3 linked regions of the Diceros bicornis minor genome follow. The protein of the gene in region 2 interacts with the protein of the main gene of each other region in a pairwise test. Links are inferred from orthologs where the notes say so. Each region holds a gene or a part of one and is shown on either strand. Other genes may lie near its edges.

Region 1 (7,248 bases), on a different chromosome or scaffold from region 2:
GTTTAAGGTCTTTGTTTTGGGCTGAGAGTGAGAACAGTAATGAGTCCAGATCCAAGAGTGAGAAAGATGTCAATTCTGAGTGTAAGGCCAGCACCAAGGATAAACTTGAGGCTGCTGGTGGAGTCGATGTAAGGTCTTGGTTCTGGGCTGGTAATGAAAACAGAAGTGAGGACAAATCTACACCTAAGACTAAAGCCAAAAAGTCAGCTGAGTCAAGAGGCACATATCCGTCCATGGTCCCTGGGGCAGGAATGGGGTCATGGGCAGGAGCCATGATCTGGACAGAAATGAAATTCCCATACCAAAATGACTCCTGCTTCCCACCTGAAGAGGAACTCAGAAAGCAGATCAGGTCTGGGGAGAAAACTCAGCCCTGGGCCTGCCGCTGTAAACGTGAAGCTAATATGGATCCACGAGAACTTGAAAAACTCATTTGCATGATTGAGATGACTGAAGATCCTTCTATTCATGAAATAGCCAATAATGCTCTATATAACAGTCCTGATTATCCATTTTCCCATGAAGTCATTCGTAATGCAGGTAAAATCTCAATTATTGAAAGCTTGCTCAATAATCCCTACCCCAGTGTTAGGCAGAAGGCTTTAAATGCACTGAATAACATCTCAGTGGCTGCTGAAAATCATAGGAAGGTTAAAACGTACTTAAATCAAGTATGTGAAGACACCATCACTTATCCCTTGAATTCAAATGTGCAGCTGGCTGGACTAAGATTGATAAAGCACCTGACTATTATTAGTGAGTATCAGCATATGGTGACAAATTATATTTCAGAATTTCTTCGTTTGTTAACTGTGGGAGGTGGAGAAACTAAAGACCATATTTTGGGAATGCTTTTGAATTTCTCTAAAAATCCATCTATGACAAAAGACTTACTCATTGCTAATGCACCAACATCACTGATTAATATCTTTAGCAAGAAAGAGACAAAAGAGAATATTCTTAATGCTCTTTCACTATTTGAAAATATAAATTATCATTTCAAAAGAAGAGCAAAAGTATTTACCCAGGACAAGTTCAGCAAAAATTCCCTTTATTTCGTATTCCAACGACCTAAAGCATGTGCCAAGAAACTTCGAGTCTTAGCAGCAGAATACAATGACCCTGAGGTGAAAGAAAGAGTTGAACTGTTATTAAGTAAACTCTGATTAGTTTTATGTTTCCAAACAAAGCTGAGTAATATTTTGGTTTTGCAGACTGGAAATAATGCACATTGTAAATTGCATTATAACTTCAAAACTGATGTTACTTATGATGGTCTATAGTTGGACCACTTTATGAACACCAAATGAATTCAAACTTGTACTGAAAATACATGTGTTGATTTTACCTTGTCTGGATTGAGATATTTTTAGTATGCTTCATGAGCAGAAACTGAACTGATTCTTCATAAGTAAGGTAATCTTTGGTCCTTTGTGTGGACTTATGTTTATATATTTGAGACTTTATTTTTATGTCATCAATAAAGTTGTGTGTTTTAAGCAGAAAAAAAGAGACATGTCTTTGTCCTTGAGTGTATGATCTATTTGGAAAGACAAGATGTATGGAAAAAAAAGATATTAACAAAACCGGGAGCCTCTGATCATGGCCAGCTGCTTCCTATTAGTGCTTACAGGTGGCAGAAACTTCTGCAGGCAACAGTGCTCAGGGAAAGTTTTACAGAGGAGGGGACACTTAAGTAAGCTAGGCTTGAAGGATTGGATAATAATGGGGCAAAAGGGCATTGGAGGAGGGAGGAGTGGCGGGAAGAAAGGCATGGAGGTGGGAATCCTGCTCCAGAGAGGAGGCTGGGCTGCCTGGAGCGCAACGTGTGGGGAGGGGAGTGATGGGAAATACGGTCTGGCAGTTGGGGTGAGTCCCATTCGTGGAGGATCCCTGACTGCTAAACCGAGATGCCTGCGTATCACTCCATCCACCCCTGGGAGACACCAAAGCCTTTCGTGACCAGAGGAGTGACAGGATGAAAGTAAAACGGTGTGGCTGATTTCTGTGCAGGATGGGTTGGAGTTGGGGGTGGGGACAGGAGTGGCCACTGGAGATTGGAACACCACTTAGGAAGTTACCACCATCGTCCAGGCGTGAGATGATAAAGGCGTGAAATTTCACTGCTGGCCGTGGGAATGGTAAGGGGAGGAAGGAAGTGAGAGACCCTCTGAAGGAAGAAGTTCTGGAACCTATTCTGGGGGCATACAGAGAGGGACAGTTTTCTTTTAGGGGCCTGGGGCCATTTGACAGGAAAACGTCCTCTTTCTTGGCCAACTCTTGGTGTCTATGTAAGTGAATACGTTAGTTATTATTTTGAAATCAGAAAATATACTAGAAGAAAGAATAATTTTTAGTGCTTCTATCAGATTACTTTTATAAGGTTGGTTGGGGCAGGATCTTTATGGAACCATCACGAGGGCTGTTGGTATCCATACTGGAGAAGATCCACAACTCTCCCACCCCAGAGGGTGGTGAGGGTGTGTGGGGAGGGGCACTCTCAGACTGTGCTGGTGGGAGCCTACACTAGGACGAGGTCAATTTGGATACATGTTTCAGAAGCCTTCAAGATGTGTGTGCTCTTTGACTCAATAATTCCACTTGTAGAAATTCATCCTTAGGAAATAATCCAATAATTGGCTTATACAAGGCTGTGCATCTTTTCACTGTTTTGAAGATTGAAAAATCATCAATGACCCAAGTGTCTTAAAATAGGCATTTGGCTAAGCAAATTAGTGTATGTCTGCACATTGAAACATTATGCAGCTCTTGAAATGTTGATGGGCATCTACACGTATTTACTTGGAAAAAATTCAGCATATAATCTTAAGCGAGGAAAATAGGCTGCCAAAGCACATGCCATACTTTTTACGAAGAAAAAGTATATATTTAAATTATCTCTATGTATAAACTTTGGTGTATACTCTGAGAATGTTAGTTGTTTCCTATGGGTGTTAGATTAATGGTGATCGTATCTGTTTTTTACTCCTCTGTATTTTCTGATTTTTATATAATAAACCAGGATTTTTTTGCATAATTTATCAAAAGGAATCGGATGGATTCAGGCTAAGCAGACTTTTCAATAGCATATCAGAGGACTAGAGAAAAAGTATAAATGGAGGCTCACATATTTATGTGTAAATATTTGGAAGGTATAAAAAATATTATAAATAAATATTATTTAAAAAAAGCTGTAAATGTAAGTGCAAATGTTTGGAAATTTAAACTTTAGTAACTGTGTTAAAAGTAAAACTGTTCTCAATTCTAGCATTTGATGGCCACCAACTTTCTAGTGGAAAAAATGATGTCAAACTTGTGGATTCTGCAATCTGCTGCCCTAATCTTCCTTCGGGAATAGAGGGCTTATTATTTCAGTTACTAGGAGTGCTCTTCCAAGGTCATACCCCCTTCCTGGGGTACTTCCCATCCAATGACTGATCAACATGGCCTTCTTGCCCCAAATGAGACAGCTTAACTTTTCCCTCCGTCCAATTCTGCTTCCTTCTTTTCCCTTCCACAGGTGTTGATCCCAAGAGCATTCCCTAATAAAAGCCCTTCATGCTGAACTCTGTGTCTGAGTCTGCTCTCCAGGAAGGCAAGCTACAACAGTTGGTATGAGAAGTGGTTCAGGAAAGCATACACTGTGATGAAATTTTGGAGGTGGATCATCTGCTGCCCAGCTGGCAATGAGGACCCCATCATTGGTGGTAGGTGGAGTAGATAGGCACCTAGAACAGGTGGCAGAGGAATTGTTAGAGCTTTCACTGGTGGTGAACTGGGATAGCACTGGTGAAGGGAATGCATTAACTGGTGCCAGGTAACAGCTTTGAGAAATATGTGGGAAATATTAAATATAAAGAAGGCCATAGGGCCGGCCCCGTGGCTTAGCGGTTAAGTGCTCGCGCTCCGCTGCTGGCGGCCCGGGTTCGGACCCCGGGCGGGCACCTACGCACCGCTTGTCAGGACATGCTGAGGCCGCATCCCACATACAGCAACTAGAAGAATGTGCAACTATGACATACAACTATCTACTGGGGCTTTGGGGGGAAAAATAAATAAATAAAGTTTAAAAAAAAAATAAAGAAGGCCATAAAATTGGGTGGCTATTGCTAAGCTTGATTAATCTGTAGAAAAAAATAATGAAAAGCTGAATTAAGTTAATCAACAATTAAAAGCTATATGTGAAAGCCTGAGGGCTTTATTTATAGCATATAATGAGGTCCTCATCTTTTCCAGGTAGAGGGTACAGAAATCTGAGGACCAGGCTCAAGACTTATTGAAAGCAAGCTTCAAAAAAGTTAAAATCCCAACCAAGTCAAATCTGCTGTGTCAAGATCAGGGTCCTAGGTAGGAAGGAATGGGGACCCTCACATATGGTATGGGGACATCTGGATTGATATCCCTAAAAATCTTGTATCCTGAGATTTCCCTGAACTGCTTGAGCATTCAGAAGTGTCCCACTCCTTCCTTTTAAGGGCTAGAACTTCATTTTGCTTGAACATGCAGAGCCTTTGTAAGATAACGTGTGTTTCCCTCAGAATCTGCCTCAACCTCCCATCCTGGCTGCTGGGCCTATATCTAGGGTTAAGTCACAGTGTAACCTCATTGGGGTTGTGCTGGGCCTCATAAGGAAGGAAAGGGAATACCCCAAGAAGGAGCTGTGGGACCTAGCCAGCGTGTACTAGCAGGTGCTGAGGGAGTAAGCATGGGACTGAATTCTGAGGGCCTTGATCAGGGGAGCTGGAATATAAAATTGAATAAAGGAGAATTAATTGATTTGAGAATTCTCTCCCAAGATAGAGGATTGAACACCCTGGGAAAGACCCCAGGAGACCATGTGAACTCACTACTAGAATGGCTCCTCAAAGTATGGAAAAAACAATGGCCCATATTAAGTGAGGTATGAATGCCAGAGTTTCCATAGCAGATGATGGGAGAAGGGATTAAAGGCTCAGGGAAGTGGGAATGATAGAATAAATGTATGTAAGGCCAGAAAACCCTCCTGAGGACTATGTTCTGCAGGTAGACCCAAAGGGTACGCCATTTGCCAAAGCTGTAAAGAATGCACCTGTGAGAGGGGCACCAGCATCACTTAGAAGTTCAGTGGTGGCTCGCCTCTGCAGGCCAGGGCTCAGAGTAGGAGAGGATGTTACAGGATGAGGGTAACTGATAGAAATGGCGATGGCTCTGAAACAATAGAGGCAGGATGACTGTACTCAACTGTCAGATGTTAGGTAGATGCAAATACCATAATGTACCACAGGGTCAGAGTGGCAGGCAGAGAGGCCTGACCTGCAGAGAGCTGTGGAGCTGGTTAATATAACACAGTGCCCCTGCCGAATAGATGGTTAAGAGGTAGTTAATAGAATGCAGGTGGTTAATATAACAGTGCCTTGGGGAAAATAGGCAGCCAACAATCTATACAATCAAAAGAAATCAAAGATGATCAAGAGTCTGAGAGAAGTTGCCTCAATAAAAAGTCACAATCCCTTGGCCAGCTTCTGGTCCTAAGTCATTTTTTGATCTAGAACTCACTGTTTGAAGGAGAGGCTGGGTTCCCAGAAAGAAGGACCCTATAACATATATGTAGTAATGATTCCTCCAGTTTTTCCATTTACTCAGGTAACTGTGCACTGGGAAAAGAGGAATACCCAAACATTTTGAGGACTGATGGTCACTGGTTCTGAGTTGATATTGATACTCAGAGACCTAAAGTGTCATCATAGTCCCCCTGTTAGAATAGGGTCAGATGGGAGCCTGGTATTAAATGGGCTCCTGGCCTAGTTCACAGTGGTTCTACTGGGTCCACAGACTCACCTGGTAGTTATTTTCTTGGTCTAGGAATGTATAATTGGAATAGATATTTTGATAGTTGGTACAAGCCCCATGTTGTTTTCTTGGCCTGTGGAGTCAGAGCTATTTGTAGATGAGAAGGCCAAGTGAAAGTTTCTGAAACTGCCCTCTACTTCCTCGGCCAAGATAGTAAATGAAAACGTACAGCATCCTGGGGAGGACGGCAGAAGTTAGTACCACCTTTAAAGACCTAAAGAATGCCGGGGTGTGGTCTCACCATCATATCTTTATTTAATGCACCAGTTTGGGCTTCTGCAAAACGTGGACAGAGCCTGGTATATGACAGTAGACTACTGCAAACTCGACCAAGTGGTGACACAAGTGCAGCTGCCATGTCAAATATGCTGTCTTTGCTAGAGCAGAATGACATGGCCTTAGGTACCTAGTAATTAGCTATTGACTTGGAAAATGTGTTTTTTCCTATCCCTCTCAGAGTGGAACATCAGAAAAAGTTCACATTCGCATAGAATGGGCTACAGTATACATTTATAGTTTTTCCTCAAGGCCCTACTAACTCTCCTGTCCTCTGTCATAATATAGTCTGAAGAGATCTGGACTATCTGAATATAATACTAGTCCACTATGTTGATGACATCATGCTAATTGAACCAAAAGGAGTAAGAAGTGGATAGCACATTGGAGGCCTTGGTAAGACACATGTACACCAGAGGATTGGAGATAAACCCTATAAAGATCAAGGGGCTGGCTACATTAAATGCAGTTTTTATGGATTGAATGGTTTGGGGCATGCCAGGAGATTCCCTCTGAAGTAAAGGACAAATTATTGCATTTTTCACCTTCCCCACGAAGATGGAATCCCAACGTGTGGTAGGCTTCATTGCGTTCTGGAAGCAGCAGATTTCATACCTGGAATTATTGTTTCGACCCATGTACTGGGTGACACAAAAAGCTGCCAGCTTTGAGTGGGCCCTAGAGCAAGAGAAGACTCTATAGCAGGTCCAGGCTGCAGTTTCAAGCAGTCCTGCCACTTGGCCCATATGATAGATAGACCCTAATGTATTAGAGGTATCTGTGTTGGCAAAAGTTGCCATATGGAGTTTTTGGTAAGCCCTAATGGGAAAGTCACAGCTTAGTCAAGAACTTAGGTTCTGGAGCAAAGCCATACCACATGCAATGGAGAATTATGTACCTTTTGAAGACAGTTTCTGGTATGCTACTATGTCCTGGTATAGATGGAATGCCTGGCCATAGGACATCATGTGACCATGCAAGTGACTATGCAGCCAGAACTGCCCATCATGAGCTGAGTTGTGTCAGATCCACCAAGGTGTAAGAGTGGGCAGGCCCAGCAACAAGATGGAAGTTTTATACACAGGATCAAGCACAAGCAGAACTGGAGGACACAAGCACCTGCACAATCAGCTAGAGTGGATC
Region 2 (6,945 bases):
GCCCAGGCCTCCCCCTCTGCAGGGACCACCGCCTCCTCACACAGCTCCATCTTCCACTGTGACTCCACGACAACTCTGCACACCAGCCAAGGGTGCAGACACAGCCCCGCCCCACGCCACACCTCTACCACAGACCCTCGGCCTCTTCTCAAACTGTGCTCCCCTCCCTCTCTCCACTCCAGCCCGCAAAGCCTTTCGCGTCCTCGCGGATATACCCTGTGGCCTCCCGTTAAGGGTTTTTGCTTACCCGCACCTCTCCTACCCTAGTTACGTTCTTTCATTCAGCTCAAGGATGGCTTCTCCAGAGAAATCTTCCTGACCTCTCCAAATAGGTCCAACACCCTAAAACGTGCTCTCCCTTAGGTCCTAAATCAGTTACGAACTTCCATTGTGTGAGTTGTTAATTAACGCCTGTCTCCATCCACTCGAGTCTGGGATCTTGAAAGGCAAGGACTGAGTCTATAGCGCAATGCCTAATACACGTAATCACTCAACAGACACCAACTGATGATCAAATCAGTGAAGGAGCAGCCCTCTAGCCTAAAGAGGAAACAGGACCTCCCTAGCTGATGTCATAGCGCAGGGGCTCAGTAAGGCCAGGAGAGAAGTATATTTATGGGGGTATCTCCCCCACTCCCTCTCCGTCTTCCCTAAAGCAAGAGGAGGCAGCCCCATGCCGGCCAGTACCGTTTGCCTCCAAAGCTGGGCCTCTCTTCGTCCGAGTCCCGCTCTGCCCACACTCCATAGGTGGCCTCTTCCTTGGTCTGCCAGTGGCGCTGCCGGTTGGGGTTGAATTCATTCTGGAGATCCCAGTCGGTGATCTCGAAGTTCTCCCGCTCGTCCTCATCGTCATCCATGTGGCCTTCCCCGTCCCGGTACAAGTGGGACAGTGACATGGCCAGTCACTAAAGGAAGGGATGAAAAAGGCACAGTCTGTGATGAGTCCTGGGCATAGCAGGAGAAGGATTCCCTGTGAGTCCTACTCCCTGCTGCCTTCAGAACTTCCTCCAAACTCACGGTCCCTTAAAACCGTTGTTAAAATTCAACAAAGCAGACGTTAAAACCTTATTTTAGAAAACAAGGGCCAGCCCCAGTGGCCTAGTGGTTAAGTTTGGTGCACTCCGCTTCGGCAGTCTGGGTTCGTGGGTTCGGATCCCAGGTGCGGACCTACACCACTTGTCAGCCATGCTGTAGCAGCGACCCATGTACAAAATAGAGGAAAATAGGCAAGGATGTTAACTCAGGGCCTCAAGCGAAAAGTGGAGGATTGGCAACAGATGTTAGCTCAGGGCAAATCTTCCTCAGCAAAAATAGAACAGAGCCAGTCCTGATGGCCTAGTGGTTAAGTTCTGCATGCTCTGCTTTGGCAGCCCAGGTTTGGTTCCCAGGCGTGGACCCACACCATTTGTCTGTCAGTGGCCATGCTATAGTGGGAGCTCACATACAACAAAAGGGAAGATTGGCAACAGATGTTTGCTCAGGGCGAATCTTCCTCAGCATAAACATTTAGAAAACAATCGGTACGATAACAGATGGAAGAAAAGACTAGTCCCAACAGTCTACGTGATTCTCAAGCATGTATTTCCTAGTCCCAATGTCATAAAAATCACACACTCACATATACACAAACCACACAAAAATAACTAAATAAGTATGTTATTCTATATATTATTGCCTCCAAAACTGGGTGGTCATCTTCCAGGACCCTACACTTTATTATTTTTTCTATCATTGAGGAAAGAGTTATACTGGACCCTTGGCAGTCCCAGGAGGGTGATATTTGAGAATAAGCTTTCTGAAATACATTACTTGATGATGAAACCCTAAGACTTAGTTTTCCTCTGATGAGCTGGAAGGCAGTCTTAATTATGAACACTACCTTAGCAGTCAGACATCTATGGGTTGGAATAGAGAATTCAACTCTTGGTAGCTGGGTGATGAGATTTAGCTGTCTCTTAAATGGATTAACTACTATACCAACCTTTGAGAATGCTTATAAGTCAGATTCAATGAGATGGTGCTTAAAAAACACTTAGCTCAGAATAAGTGCTCCAGGAACAAGAGCTGTTACTGGAGTGCCAAGATTAGGATCATCATCACTATTACTGGATTAGGGAATGAACCTAGCAAAGTGCGTGTGAAATCAGGTACTACAATCACAGCCTGACTTCAAATCCCACTCCTACCAGGTACTCAGTGTATGAGTATTAAATGCACACGAAGTGCCAAGCATGGTGCACTACGCAGTAATACATTCACTGTGTGACAGCGACGTGATTCTTGTCGCCCAGCTGCTGCAAGCAGCCTCTGGGGACAGGAGTTCACTACCGCCACAGGCAGTGTCACACTCGGGTCCGCTCTGTTACACAGTTCTCCCTGCTTGTTCCAGTCTCTGGTGCACTGGCTGGGTGCTGGTGGACCCACGCTCATCCAGGAGTGCAAGGAGGGAGATGTTCTGGGAGGTCCCAGCTACATGGGAGTCAATAACGCCGCTGGGCAGAGTAATAATTAGAGTTGTCACGAGTTAGAGAGGCCTCCACACACGCCAAGCACTGGCTGGACGCTTCAGGCCGATAATGCAAGCATCAAGACCCGTCCACGAGGTGGAGACTACCGGCGTTTCCGTACAGGCTTCAGATAAGGAAAACGAGGCTGAGCGCGGTTACACGACCTGCCCTAGGTCCCGCGGCAGGCAGGGCTCGGCACCCGGGGACTTCAGCCCAGGCTCGGGCTCCGCTGTGCACACTTCGCGGCGGAGGCTCGGTCCCCGCCCGACCCGGCCCCGACTCCCCGGGGACGCCGGGCGGCCCGCCCTCGGCAGAGCCGTCGGCGAAACGGAAGCCCCACGGCGAGGCCGCCTTCCCCGAGCCCTCGCAGCCACTCCCGCCGGCGCGGACGCCCCTTCGCCCCCTCCCCGGCCCCCGGCCCGCTCACCTCGCCCGGGTCCCGCCGGCCACACACAGCTCCCCGCTCCGCGCGAGAGCCCCGCCGCTCGGGACGCCGGAAGCCGGACGTGCAGAGCCCGGCGCGCCGGAAATGACGTCGCGCGACCGCAGAAGTGGCGCGCTGGTTGCCATGGCAGCAGCGGAAGGCTACGGCGGCTTTGGCTCTAGAGCGGCCCGGCTGAGACGCCAGAAAGAAGACGCGGATGTTCTGGCCCCCGAGAGGCTGGGGGTGCCTTCCCGGCCGCGCTGGCCTCCCTGCCGCGCCCGCTCCGTGGAGACGCCCAGCCTGTCGCGGCTGCTGGACGTCGCCGAGCCGCCGTGGCCTTTGCCGGTCTGGGATTCTAAATCTGTAAAATGGGGGTATAGGACTGGCTCATGGGATGGTTGTGGGGAATCGCGTGAGGCAGTAGCGGGGCCGGAACACGGCATTCAGGTGGGGATGATGAAGGTCAGGACTGTCTCCTGTGTCCTTGGGTCTCCGGTAAGCCCCGTCGTGGGCACAGAGCAGTTGCCTTATGTAGGAGTTTGAGGGAGTGAAGGAATGAATGGGCAAACTCGAGAAGTCCCAAGTATTCCCTCCAGGAAGCCTCTCCATTCTCTTCCTTTCCAGCCGGTTGATAAATAAATTCATTCATTCACTGATCTAATAAAAATGTACTGTCTACTCTGTGCCGGGCTCGGGGGATACAATGAACAAACCAGGCAGCGGCCCTCCCAGGGAATCCCTCACTGGCTCTGAGTACCAATCTCAGCTCTGCCACTTACCAGCTCTGGGCCTTGGGCAAGTCATTCCATCTCTCGAAGCTTCAGTTCTCTCTCCTGCAAAATGGTTGAGGATCCAATGAGATACAATATGTAAGCAATTAAAACTGAACCAGGTACACAGTAGGTGCTTGGGAAGTGTTAGCCGTTAATGTTTTCGTATGTTCCCTCGCTCTGTTTCTCTCTCTCCTCCGTATGATGAAAATATCCAAGACGCAAGTGTTGGTGTGCTTTGGAGCGAAAAGATTTGGGTCTAACTTCGAGTGGGTGTTATTAATTAAATGAGAATCCCGTGAAGCCAATTAAATGCCAGGTTCTTGGTGTTCACACAAAATAACCAATAACTATTCTATAGATAAGAGAGAGAGGTGAGTTTTACTTGAGCCAGACTGAGGGTTATAGCTGGGGAAGGCCTTTTCAGGACAGGAAGAAAGCATTGGGGAGAGAAAGCCTTGGGGAGAAACATGGTTTTTGTTACAGTCTTATATCTTTTTAGAACAAAGAACTTATATTAAACACACCCGGGATACATTTTCATCAAAGTTTCAAAGAGGTATTTAGTTGCAAATTAGCAGGTCAACATGACCCTGATGTCGGGACAGGGAATTTATTTTAGGAGTACTAATATGGGCGTTACCAATAGGGTGTAGGAGAGGAAGGATACTTTCTTAAGAGAGTGCGTGCTTTACTTTTATGGTTAAAGCAGATATACAATGTATGTTTGATAGGCCAAAGGCAGGCATCTTTTTTAGTTCAAGCTGAATTAGTTTTGAATCAAATACTTACCCCATATACCCCAATATGTGAAAACTTACTGGGAATGGGGACTGTGCTTTACTGGTCTCTGTATCCCCAGTGACATGTAGTGTCACTGTGCCTGACACAAAGTATGTACTTAGGAAAGAAACTGGAAAGTGAGGTTTTAGTAGAGGAGAACGCCGGGGAGACAGAGTCTAAGAGACCAAAATGTCCACTAGGCAGCAGACTGAGGGAAACAGATGAGATAAACCATTTTGAGTCTGGGCCTGAAAATGTATATGCCTCTGTTTATAGCCCAAAGCCAAAAATAGAAGTAAGCTTGGCTTCTCAGTAGCTATGTCTGTAGCTTCACAGCAGACTTTATGGAGCTGAAATTACTTTGATCATGAGGGGCTGATGGGTTTGCTTCACCAAATGGACCCCACTATGTGGCTTCTGGAGAAGAGACCTTTGTGGACTGTTGTGGCGTCACTGCAGGCTCTGATCGAGTGACCAGGGTGTGTGTCCTCAAGAATGGACAAATGAAAATCACGTACCACGTGGTAGGATGCCCTGAGAAGATCGCAGCATCACTCTTGTGATATTCCTGCCAAAGATGCATAACCTGAAGGGAATTATGAGGATACGTCAGACAAACCCAAATAAGGGGACATTCTCCCAAAATCTGGCCTGTTATCTTCAAAAGTGCCAATGTTGTGAAAGTCAGAGAAAGACCCTAGAACTGTTCCAGACTGAAGGAAACTAAAGAGACACGATAACTAAATGCAACACATGAATCTGAACTGGATCTTTTTGCTATAAAGGAAGTTATTGGGACAAAGGGCAAAATTGAAATGGGGTCCGGGGTTTCCAGGGTGTGATGTGTCCGTGTTAATTTCCTGATTTTGATGGTTGTCCTGTGGTTACATTGGAGAGTGTCTTTGTTTTTGGAAATACTCAAGTCTTGGGGGTGGTGGAGCATCCAGCAAGCAACTCAATCTCAAATGATTAAGAGAAAAAGATGTCTTCTTTATGAACTTAGAATTTTTTTCCAAAATGAAGGTTCTGGAGTAAAACTTCAAGGATCCAAATCTCCACTTTGCTGCTTCCTGAATGTGGGACCTGGGGCAGGTTCCATCACCTCTCTGCACCTCAGTTCTCCCACCTGTAAAATGGGAATAACAGTGGTACTGCTCTAAAAGGGTTATTTTTAGGACAAAAAAAAAAAAAAAGGCTGACTAATACATGTAAAGTTCCTGGTATAGTAAGAGCTTCATAAATGGTTGTGGCTATTTCCACTGAAAAGACCCAGTCTTATTCCTCTGCACGGGAGGCCTCTCAGCCTCAAAGATGAGTAGATTTTCAGGATTTCTGGGCTCAAATGCCCAACCTCAGGAAAAGCAAGGAAAGAGGTGGCCAGAAGTTTAGATTCAGGATCTCATATCCACCCTGGTCTCTCGTCACTGCCCAGAAAAACCCTTGCTTTGGGACTCGGGGACGTCCAGGCCCGTGTCTAGATTCCCAATGAGGTACTCAGACATGTAGCCTTCCCAGAAGGGTTGCTAGGCAACACGGCTCCTGAGCAGGAGCCTGGAAGGGCCCCCGGACACTCATTAGTCCCTCCCTCTTTTTTCACAGATGAGGCAATGTGCCCAGGGCCACACAGTGAGTTTATAGACAGAGCCAGGCCTGGAACCCAGGAGTCAGACTTCCAAACCAGTGCTTCCTCTGCTGTACCATGCATGGGGCACCCACACCATTTCTCTCTACTTATTTGAGCTAATACTTATAGAGTGATTCCTGTCTATTCAGAGTCACAAAGACAAACCATACATCATCTCTTAGATTCCTTAACCTTCTGAGGTAGTTTCTATTACCCCCTGAGTTCACACGCCTAATCACCCCTTTATGTGGCCTATGCCATACAGCACTGTTTCCATATTGCCTTCAAAAGATCTGGGGGGAAAATCCTCGCCTAGTTACAACTTTAAATAGTTTGGTACCATAGAAACAATCAGTAAGTGGTATTTCAAAGCTGAGATATTTAAAGTCTAGCACAAGTACCTTTTCTAGGACAGTGACATTATACAGTTGCACATGGCTTATTCTTATTTTGAATTCTGTCACAAAAATGTACCCTGAACTTGGCAGAATTGAAAATCCAGATCGGCTGAGATTAGCAGATCTGGTTTCCCTTTAAATGTTTCTTACAGATGGTTTCTACCCTACTTATCTTTCAAGAATTTGCGAACACTCTATCCTTATATAGAAAAGCTGGGACATGAAGTTCCGTGGGCCTGGGGAATTATCTGTAAAGCACGCATCCTCTAAAGCACACAGGTGAGTTGAGGAACCACAGCCTTCATCACTCATCTATTCATTGATTCATTCATTCAGTCATTCATTAACAAATATTTTGTGGGTTCCTATGTATTATATCTATTACAATGTAACAGTTAACTCCAAACTTAGTGGCTTGAAATGACAGTGAACAGTATCT
Region 3 (7,852 bases), on a different chromosome or scaffold from region 2:
CACAACCTCACTACCCACCACCCTGGAAACCTTAGTTCCTGGGTAGGTCAGAGAAGGGTATCTCAGCTTCACCAACCAGCAGGCATTTGCCAGCTCTAGCCCCTTGGGTTTATTTATAGGCCAACAGACTCAACAGGTAGCAGCCTCTCTGCCCCTTCACTGGAACTTCACTGTCCATCCTGGCTCAGTCTGGAGTTCTCTGCAGGGTTCTTGCTCTCTCTCTGATCATACCACCGATTCCCCAGGCTCATGGGTGGGGCAGTCTCACTCCCTGAGAGGGGTCTTACATGGTCAAGCCCTGCACACGCTCAACTGACTCTCGAGGCTTGGAGGGGCAGACTCTGGTTTTGGGCAGTGCTGACCCAAGCAGAACTGTGAGGTTGTCAATGCTTGTCCTCTCATCCCATCCCTGGGTGGCTCTCCCCTTTCTTTAGGCTTTTCTCCTCACTCTGACTCTGTAGGGGTCCCCTATCTTCCCACCTGTCACTTTCTTTTTTTTTTTTTTTTACAAATTGAGAAGCAGTTATTAAATATACAAAAAGTAATATCAGCCATATAAGGCATAAGCAAATCATTAAGAACACTTTGAATTGACATTTAACAAAAGAGGCAACGAAAATCATCAACAAGATTATTTTAAAGTTCAAGCTAACATAAAATCAATCAAATTCAAATTACAACAGCAAAGGCATTAATTACTTTCTCCAAAATTGGCAAAGATAATTAAAATTATCATATTCTATGCTGGTTAGGTTAGAGTGAGTTAGATACTCAAAATTGTTGAAGTTGAGGTTTCATTTTGGTGTATCTTTTCTGGAAATAATTTGGCAATTATTGCCAATTGTACATATATCTTTGTACCTAAAAATCACAGCAGACTCCTGGGATCTCTGGCCTTACAGATACCTCAGCACCTTAGTTAGGACTCTGATGACTTCTAGCTCTGCTGAGGACATGTCCACATTACCTGTCTGAGAAGTATTCATCTTTATCTGTCTGACTTATCTCACTTATCACAATGCTGCCACTTTCTTTCTTTAAAACCTTAGAAAAGGATCTGAGAGGCCCATCCATATTAAGTTATAAATGACTGGATGGAGGAGACTCAGGATTAAGTGCTGGCGAACTCAATGTCCAGAATCTACCCTTGCGGCATCCAAGCCGTAGCTCCTGGCTCTTCTGCCGTAGATGGGGAAGGAGGGGGAGCCCTGGCTCTTGACTCAGACTATGTGGATACATGTCCTGGCTCTGTCATCTACTACCTATGTGCTTTTAAACAAGCTATTAAACATCTCTAAGCCTCTGTCTCCTCATTTATAAAATGGGAACCTACCTCATAAGGTTATGAGGATTAAAGAGAAAATGCACGTCAAGCGTCTGGCACATAGCACACATAGCATCTGGCACATAGCACACAATAAGTGTTAGCTTTCTATAATAATAATAATAAACATAAGCTATGATTATTATTATCCCTGTCCTGCTGATCTTGGATATTGAAGACTCAGTGCTATAAGACAAAGGTCCCAAGCTAACCTTGCACTTCTAGGACCAAGAATGCCTCATCCTCTAACTCGCCCACCTCCTTTCTCTTTGAAGGGGTACTGTTTACTGTACGGAGGGGATGCTGGCCCCGGGTTGAAATCATATTTACTGCTGTGGTTCATCTGACCTCTGGGTTTGGGCTACATGGAGAAAAGACTTCTCTGTGGTCTGGACAAAACCACTATCTTCATTAGTCCCAGGAGAAAGGCGAAGAAGAGATGGGAGTGAAGAATTGGTGTCCAGCCTGCCTACATGCCACCATTAAAATGTGGGACGCTAAGTCCCCTCTCTGTTTGGCTCCAGGTAATCTGCAGGCTTTGTAGAGGAGGCAGATCCTCTGATTATGGAGAATCTTCCTGCCTTCCTGCCGTGAAGAAGAAAGGGTTGTGGGGGAGGAGATGGAGCCTGAGATAAGTTCTCCGTGGGCTCTCGACCAGGCTGTCTATACTAGTCCACTGAGACATATGGCTGTCCTGCTTTGCTTCCTGAGAGGCAGATATTGGGACTTATTACCCAAGTGGGGAATTGGAGTAGAAATGGCTCCTTAGAAAAGGGAGCCTTCTCAGACCCCTAGACCCTCACACCTGGTGGGATTTGTTGTGGCACAGCCGAGCGGAATCACACCCAGCCTTCCGGGATGTCTTGACTGTTCTGATTTGCTTAAACACAAGAAGCCATGTGGGACGGCTGACTGATGGGGATGGGCCATAGAAGAAAAAGGAACTGGCCCCTGTGTAGTTCAAAGAAAGGTCACTGGGCCACTGCCCAGGCTTTCTGGCATCTGTGGGGTGCCTCTTGGCGTCGTGACAGAGCCCAGTTGGAGCTCCGGGAAGAGGTAGTACTGGCTGGGGGAAGCTCTCCTCACTGCCGCAGGGAGAGATCAGAGCACTGCCCTTCACCTGACAGTGGTTTGTTGCTGCCTTTCCAAGTCTCTGTTCCTACTTCCTGGCTGTGTTTGCAATGAATGGCTTCCTACATGGGTCTGGGCTTCCTAGTCCAGAGCTCTCAGTGTGAGCTGAGGAGAGAGGGACCTGGAAAGGCAGCTTCATGTTATGGGGGTCCCTGCTTTGAGGGGAACTATGAGAGATCATTGAATTTATGCCCCTCTCGCTGGGTAGCCTGAACTCTAAGTCATTTGACTCACCTGTAATCTAATCCAATAGATGGAACGTAGAGTGATGGAAGCTGTACCCTTGCGCCGTGGCTAGTGCCCCTGGAAACCAACACAGGAGGCTTCTTTGGTTACCCAACCCCCAGCACTCTTAAACTACGCCATTCACCCCTGTGTCTCCCTCTTCAGCCTGGGGAAGCTTGGATGACAGAGTCTTCTGCCCCACCCCAGAATTAGAGCTCCCAAACCTGGATGCAAAAGCATCCTCCTCAGTTACCTTGGGTCCCAGGCTCCAACCCAAGCAGCTCAGGAAAGCATTCCAGCTCCTGGGCAGATCTTGGCTCTGGTTTCAGATGGGGCAAGACAGCAGCTGTGTAAAGTACAAGCTCTCAATCCATGGCTCTGGGCCCCCTTAGCATTTCCCTTCTTGGTACTGTCTTTTTTTTTTTTCGCACAGCAGCCTTGCTGAAACCGGAAACAGACAAAGCCACAGTGCTTGCTCACCCCAGTTCCTCTCTCTTGCTCTCTGGCACGGTCTGAGGGGGCCCCTGAACCCTTGAGGCCTCCAGCGCTGGGCTCAGGAGCTCCTCCCATCATTGGGCACCCCAGCCACCCTTCTTCTTGCTATTGGGTTGGTCTTAGCTCGCGGACAGTTTCCAGTCAAGATTCCTTTCCAGGAGCGGACAAGGATGGGCCTCTGGATCAGATTCAAACCTTGCAGTTTCTATGAGGGGAAAAAATGCATTTTTGACCTTGAAGAGATGTTCCCTGTGTAGCTTTTCTTGTGTGTCAGGTAGTTCTCTGTGTAAGGATTTTCCTTTTGTTGCCTCTTCCCAATCCTGGTATTGTAAAAAGTTTCTACTCTTCTAAAGTACCTGGTGTCTTTTTCAGAATTCTGGAATGAGGCCAGTTCTGAATTTGCTCCTTTCTGGAGCAATGAGGAGGAGGTGAAAAGGTGGTGGGTGGGTGACTGGGGAATGAAGGGAGCAGCAGCAGGCAGAATCTTATAAAAAAAGTTTCCTAGTCAATTGGACTAGGAAATTTGGGGAAAAACTAGAAGGAACTGATCTTTGTGCATTAAAAAGAAACCACTACAAATGATATTGTCAGGAAATTCCCAAGAAGTTCAGAACAAGATAGTGCAGAGAGAATTGGATTGGGGTAAGTTAACTGAGTAGTTTTATAACCTTGTGCAATTCACCTTGTCTGCATGGTCCACTCATTATGGTAGCTGGATGATTTATATGGCTCCTATGAATTCTAAGGCTTGACATGTGTGAGGCGTGCAATGAGATTTTTAAATAGCTGTGATAGGATAACAGTCATTAACACGTGGGAGTATGTCACAATCTTCTTCATTGCCTGCTACTTCCCCCATTCTCTGAGGAGAAAAAGGGCAAGGAGTAGGCAGGGAAAAGCACAGAGGATGGATTCTCAAGCACTAGAACTGAAGGCAAATGACGTTCCCTCAGGAAGAGAGACAAGAGCCTAAGGTCCTGTGTCTGGAGCTTGGTATATGGTGATGGGAATGAGTAGAAGACAGAGGGGTTAGGGAGCCCAAGGTGGTGAATAAGAGAATTTTATTGGCTTAGAAGACTAGTGAGAGGGTCCTGGGAGTTTAGGGCACCAGAGCATAGGAGAGGACAGGAGGTTATAACAGGAGGTACTATGGACCAACTATTTGGAATCCATTAAAAGTCAAAAAGAAGTGTGTGCAAAGATCAAAATGCCTTTTAGGGCTATGCACTCAATGGGATACCACACCCACTTTAACTGGGGTTTGGAGAGGTTAACAGTCTGCTCAAGGTAACACAGCAAGTGTTGGACCCAAGTTTGCTTGACATCAGAGCCTGAGCTGTTAACACTATGTTGTGAGAACAATACAATTAATAAGGTTGTCATACTTATCTATCTATATGGAGAGAAAGAGACACATACACACACAGAGAAAACTAAAACTAGAGAATATACCTTATTTTCAAATGCCCATGAAGCGTCAAAAAAATTGACTGTATTGATCATAAAGCAAACCCCAGTACCTTAAAAAAACAAGTTAATCTGTTACAGCAGAATTCCCCAACCATAGTACAATAAAATTAGAAATAAATAACAAAACTGGGAAGAAATAAACACTTCAACCTCTTGGAAAAAAAATTCTCCTGGTTTACTCTTGAAATATAGAGGAAACCAAATCTGGAATTAAGCATGCCTTGAGGGGCCAGCCCCGTGGTGTAGCGGTTAAGTTCGCACGTTCCGCTTCAGCAGCCCCGGGGTTCACAGGTTAGGATCCCAGGCACAGACCAACGCACCGCTTGTCAAGCCATGCTGTGGCAGTGTCCCATATAAAGTAGAGGAAGGTGGGCACAGATGTTAGCTCAGAGCCAATCTTCCTTAGCAAAAAGAGGAGGATTGGCAACGGATGTTAGCTCAGGGCTAATCTTCCTCACACACACACAAAAAAGAATGCCTTGAAAACAATGCTAACGAGAACATTAAGAACAAAATCTGTGAGGTATGGCCAAGGCATGACCCAAGGGAAATTCATAGTCTTAAATATTTTCATTACTTAAACAAGGAATATTAAAAATAAATTAGCTATTTATTTTCAAACAAATTTCTAAAAAGTAGTCAGGAAAATCAAGGAAAGAAAGTGAGAATAAAAAGAAGGTAAAAAGAGAAAGCAATATAATAAGTTAGAATTCAGAGCAGAATTGATAAATAAATTCAATTATCTATTGAATACCAGGAGCTAGTTCTTGTGTCTGTATGTGGGGAAAGGTAGAAATACCAATAGAAAACAAAATCAATGAAATAAACTACCAGCTAGCCAAATCACTTTAAAAGAGAGAAAGCACATCTGTAAACATTTATGAATGGTACATGGAAGTAACTATCATACAGTGGACATGAAAATACTTTTACAGTCATTTGTGTAACTAAGGTAATATTTTGAAAATCTGGATAAAATGAATTTAAGAAAACTTTATTTACCAAATCAGTCTCAAGTAGAGATATAGTCTAATCATCAGCCTGCCTCTCCCTGATGGTCCCCTTCCTCTAGCATAGGCTAGTACAGAGGAGGATTTAGATCAGGCACCTCTTGAGCTGGTCACGTGGCATTTACTGGCCAGCACTCTGTACTTCTTACCATTTCCAGGTCCACTGGGACCTTGGCTCTCTTTATTGATGGTCATATCCTGGAACATCAGGACATGGTCTCCTTAATAGATTCGGGTCCTCTGTGGGCTCCCATGAGGAGTAAATATAGGATAAGCATCACTTTGCCTTACAGCTCTGTTGCTTTGCTCTTCACAGCATCAAACAAGTATGTATGGGATCATCAGATTTTATTTTAGGGTTGGGGTAACTGAAGGGAATTCCAATTGTGAAAGGAAAACATTTAAACTGTGTGCTACTATGACTTATCCCATACTCTAAGAAATAACACCAAGAAGTCAAACTCTTTATGGAGGTCCCCACATGGGAGCTATTAGTTCTAATCTTGTTCCCCCTCCCACCCTACTGGATGACTCCCCTATTCATCTTTCGGGAAATGGCAACCTTGCCCATAAGAATTGTTTTTGCCTTAGAATCCCCCACTACACTCCCTCCAACATTTTCTCAGCAATGCATTCTTCAAGTCTAAGTTATTCATTCTAGAACAATGCCGCAGACACTGTTAACAGGATAGCCTGGGGTGGCCTTGTCACCCCAAGTTTTGCAGAAGGTGGCAGGAGGGGTTGGTGAGGGGAACTTGGAACTCCAAGTCCTGCAGAGTGGCTCAGGATAGGCACATTTAAGTCTGTTCTTGTTCAACTTCTCCCCAACCAGTGACTTGCAGACTCGTCTCTTTTTTTTTTTCCTGGGAAAGAGTCACCCTGAGCTAACATCTGTTGCGAATCTTCCTCTTTTTTTTTTCCTTCTCCCCAAAGCCCCAGTACATAGTTGTATATTTTAGTTGTAAGTCCTTCTAGTTCTTCTCTGTGAGCTGCCACCACAGCATGGCTACTGATAGACAAGTGGTGCGGTTCTGCACCCAGGAACTGAACCCAGGCTGCCAAAGCAGAGCGTGCTGAACTTTAACCACTAGGCCATCAGGGCTGGCTCTGTAGACTCTCCTCTTTAGTCTTTCAAGTGTCTACCTGGCAACTGTTTAATCAGATGTCCACACAAACATCCCAAGGACAAATATTCCTTCTCAGAGGTGATACAGTCTAAACTCATCAGGAAGAAGATAACTATTTCCTTAACTCCTACATTTGCAAGGTTGCCTCTCTACAATGGAGTTATGACTTCACACTTGTGGCAGGACAGAGTTCTCAGTTCTTTTCTTCTCTTTGTTGCTTTGTGTCATCATTGTTGATAGAGGACTTTTTACTATAATAAAACCTCAAAATTATGCTGTAACAGATTATCAATATTAGCAGATTTGTCTGTTGTACAGATGCTAAGAATCTGAAAGGCCTAACCCTAAGGCACAACTAACTGCACATCTGTTCTTGCGGGTCCCAGCATTGAGAAAGACAAGTTACTTTGCATCTTAGGCTGCTGAGAAGGGTGGTCTTACCAGCTTTGACCTTGAAGGGCCCTGATGGGATGAAACTTCAGGCCTGAGGGAGGGGGTGGAGTGGTGTGTGTGTGTGTGTGTGTGTGTGTGTGTGTGTGTGTGTTATAGAACAGACAGAACAGGAAAGAGTAAGGTAGACCAGAAAAAGGAGGGAGGGCTTCCCAGGTATTCATCTCCATTTGGACCAAAAGGAAAAACCATGTGTTAATCCTCAGAGCAACTTAAGTCTTCTCGTTTCACCTTCATTTCAGTTTGTGTCCCCTTGGGCCTGCCAGAGTATAAAATAAGGCTTACTTCTGAGTCAGATATCATAATGGCTTATCCCCTCGGTATGCAATACTCCTTTCTAAACTTTAAAAATTACTGCTTTTTAGGTCTCAATTAAAGCACCACCCTCCTCTCTCTGGTGTGTGTGTGAGTTGTCTGATAATAGGAGTCTGAGAACTCTTAGTTTATCACTAAAAGCCACATTATTTATTTAAAAACAATATACTTCCGTAAATTACTGAGCTTCCAAAATCATTAAAAAAAATTAAAAATATGAAGCTTTTATTCACTAAAATATGCTTTCACTTACTTCACTTATATATTGTTTTTGCATGATAGCCTAGGCAGTCAGAACCATTACC

Evidence for each region. The genes of interacting proteins can lie anywhere in the genome.
Region 1: the proteins of TFIP11 (region 2) and ARMCX1 interact in binary tests that used the Homo sapiens proteins (3 or more experiments, as listed by UniProt). The two-hybrid records come from large-scale screens. The link is inferred for Diceros bicornis minor from reciprocal best matches to the Homo sapiens genes TFIP11 and ARMCX1.
Region 3: the proteins of TFIP11 (region 2) and TRAF3IP3 interact in binary tests that used the Homo sapiens proteins (3 or more experiments, as listed by UniProt). The two-hybrid records come from large-scale screens. The link is inferred for Diceros bicornis minor from reciprocal best matches to the Homo sapiens genes TFIP11 and TRAF3IP3.

What each region holds. Positions count from the first base shown.
Region 1 is NC_080781.1:94,604,831-94,612,078, forward strand, and holds the start of ARMCX1 (armadillo repeat-containing X-linked protein 1), read left to right. Parts: upstream 1-4,233; 5' UTR 4,234-4,347; intron 4,348-6,393; 5' UTR 6,394-6,501; intron 6,502-7,248. Other genes in the region: ARMCX4 (armadillo repeat-containing X-linked protein 4), read left to right, coding at 1-1,166. UniProt on the Homo sapiens protein: Regulates mitochondrial transport during axon regeneration. Increases the proportion of motile mitochondria by recruiting stationary mitochondria into the motile pool. Enhances mitochondria movement and neurite growth in both adult axons and embryonic neurons.
Region 2 is NC_080774.1:20,627,007-20,633,951, forward strand, and holds the start of TFIP11 (tuftelin-interacting protein 11), read right to left. Parts: upstream 3,005-6,945; 5' UTR 2,935-3,004; intron 906-2,934; 5' UTR 897-905; coding exon 688-896; intron 1-687. UniProt on the Homo sapiens protein: Involved in pre-mRNA splicing, specifically in spliceosome disassembly during late-stage splicing events. Intron turnover seems to proceed through reactions in two lariat-intron associated complexes termed Intron Large (IL) and Intron Small (IS).
Region 3 is NC_080743.1:75,798,605-75,806,456, reverse strand, and holds the start of TRAF3IP3 (TRAF3-interacting JNK-activating modulator), read right to left. Parts: upstream 3,016-7,852; 5' UTR 2,934-3,015; intron 1-2,933. UniProt on the Homo sapiens protein: Adapter protein that plays essential roles in both innate and adaptive immunity. Plays a crucial role in the regulation of thymocyte development.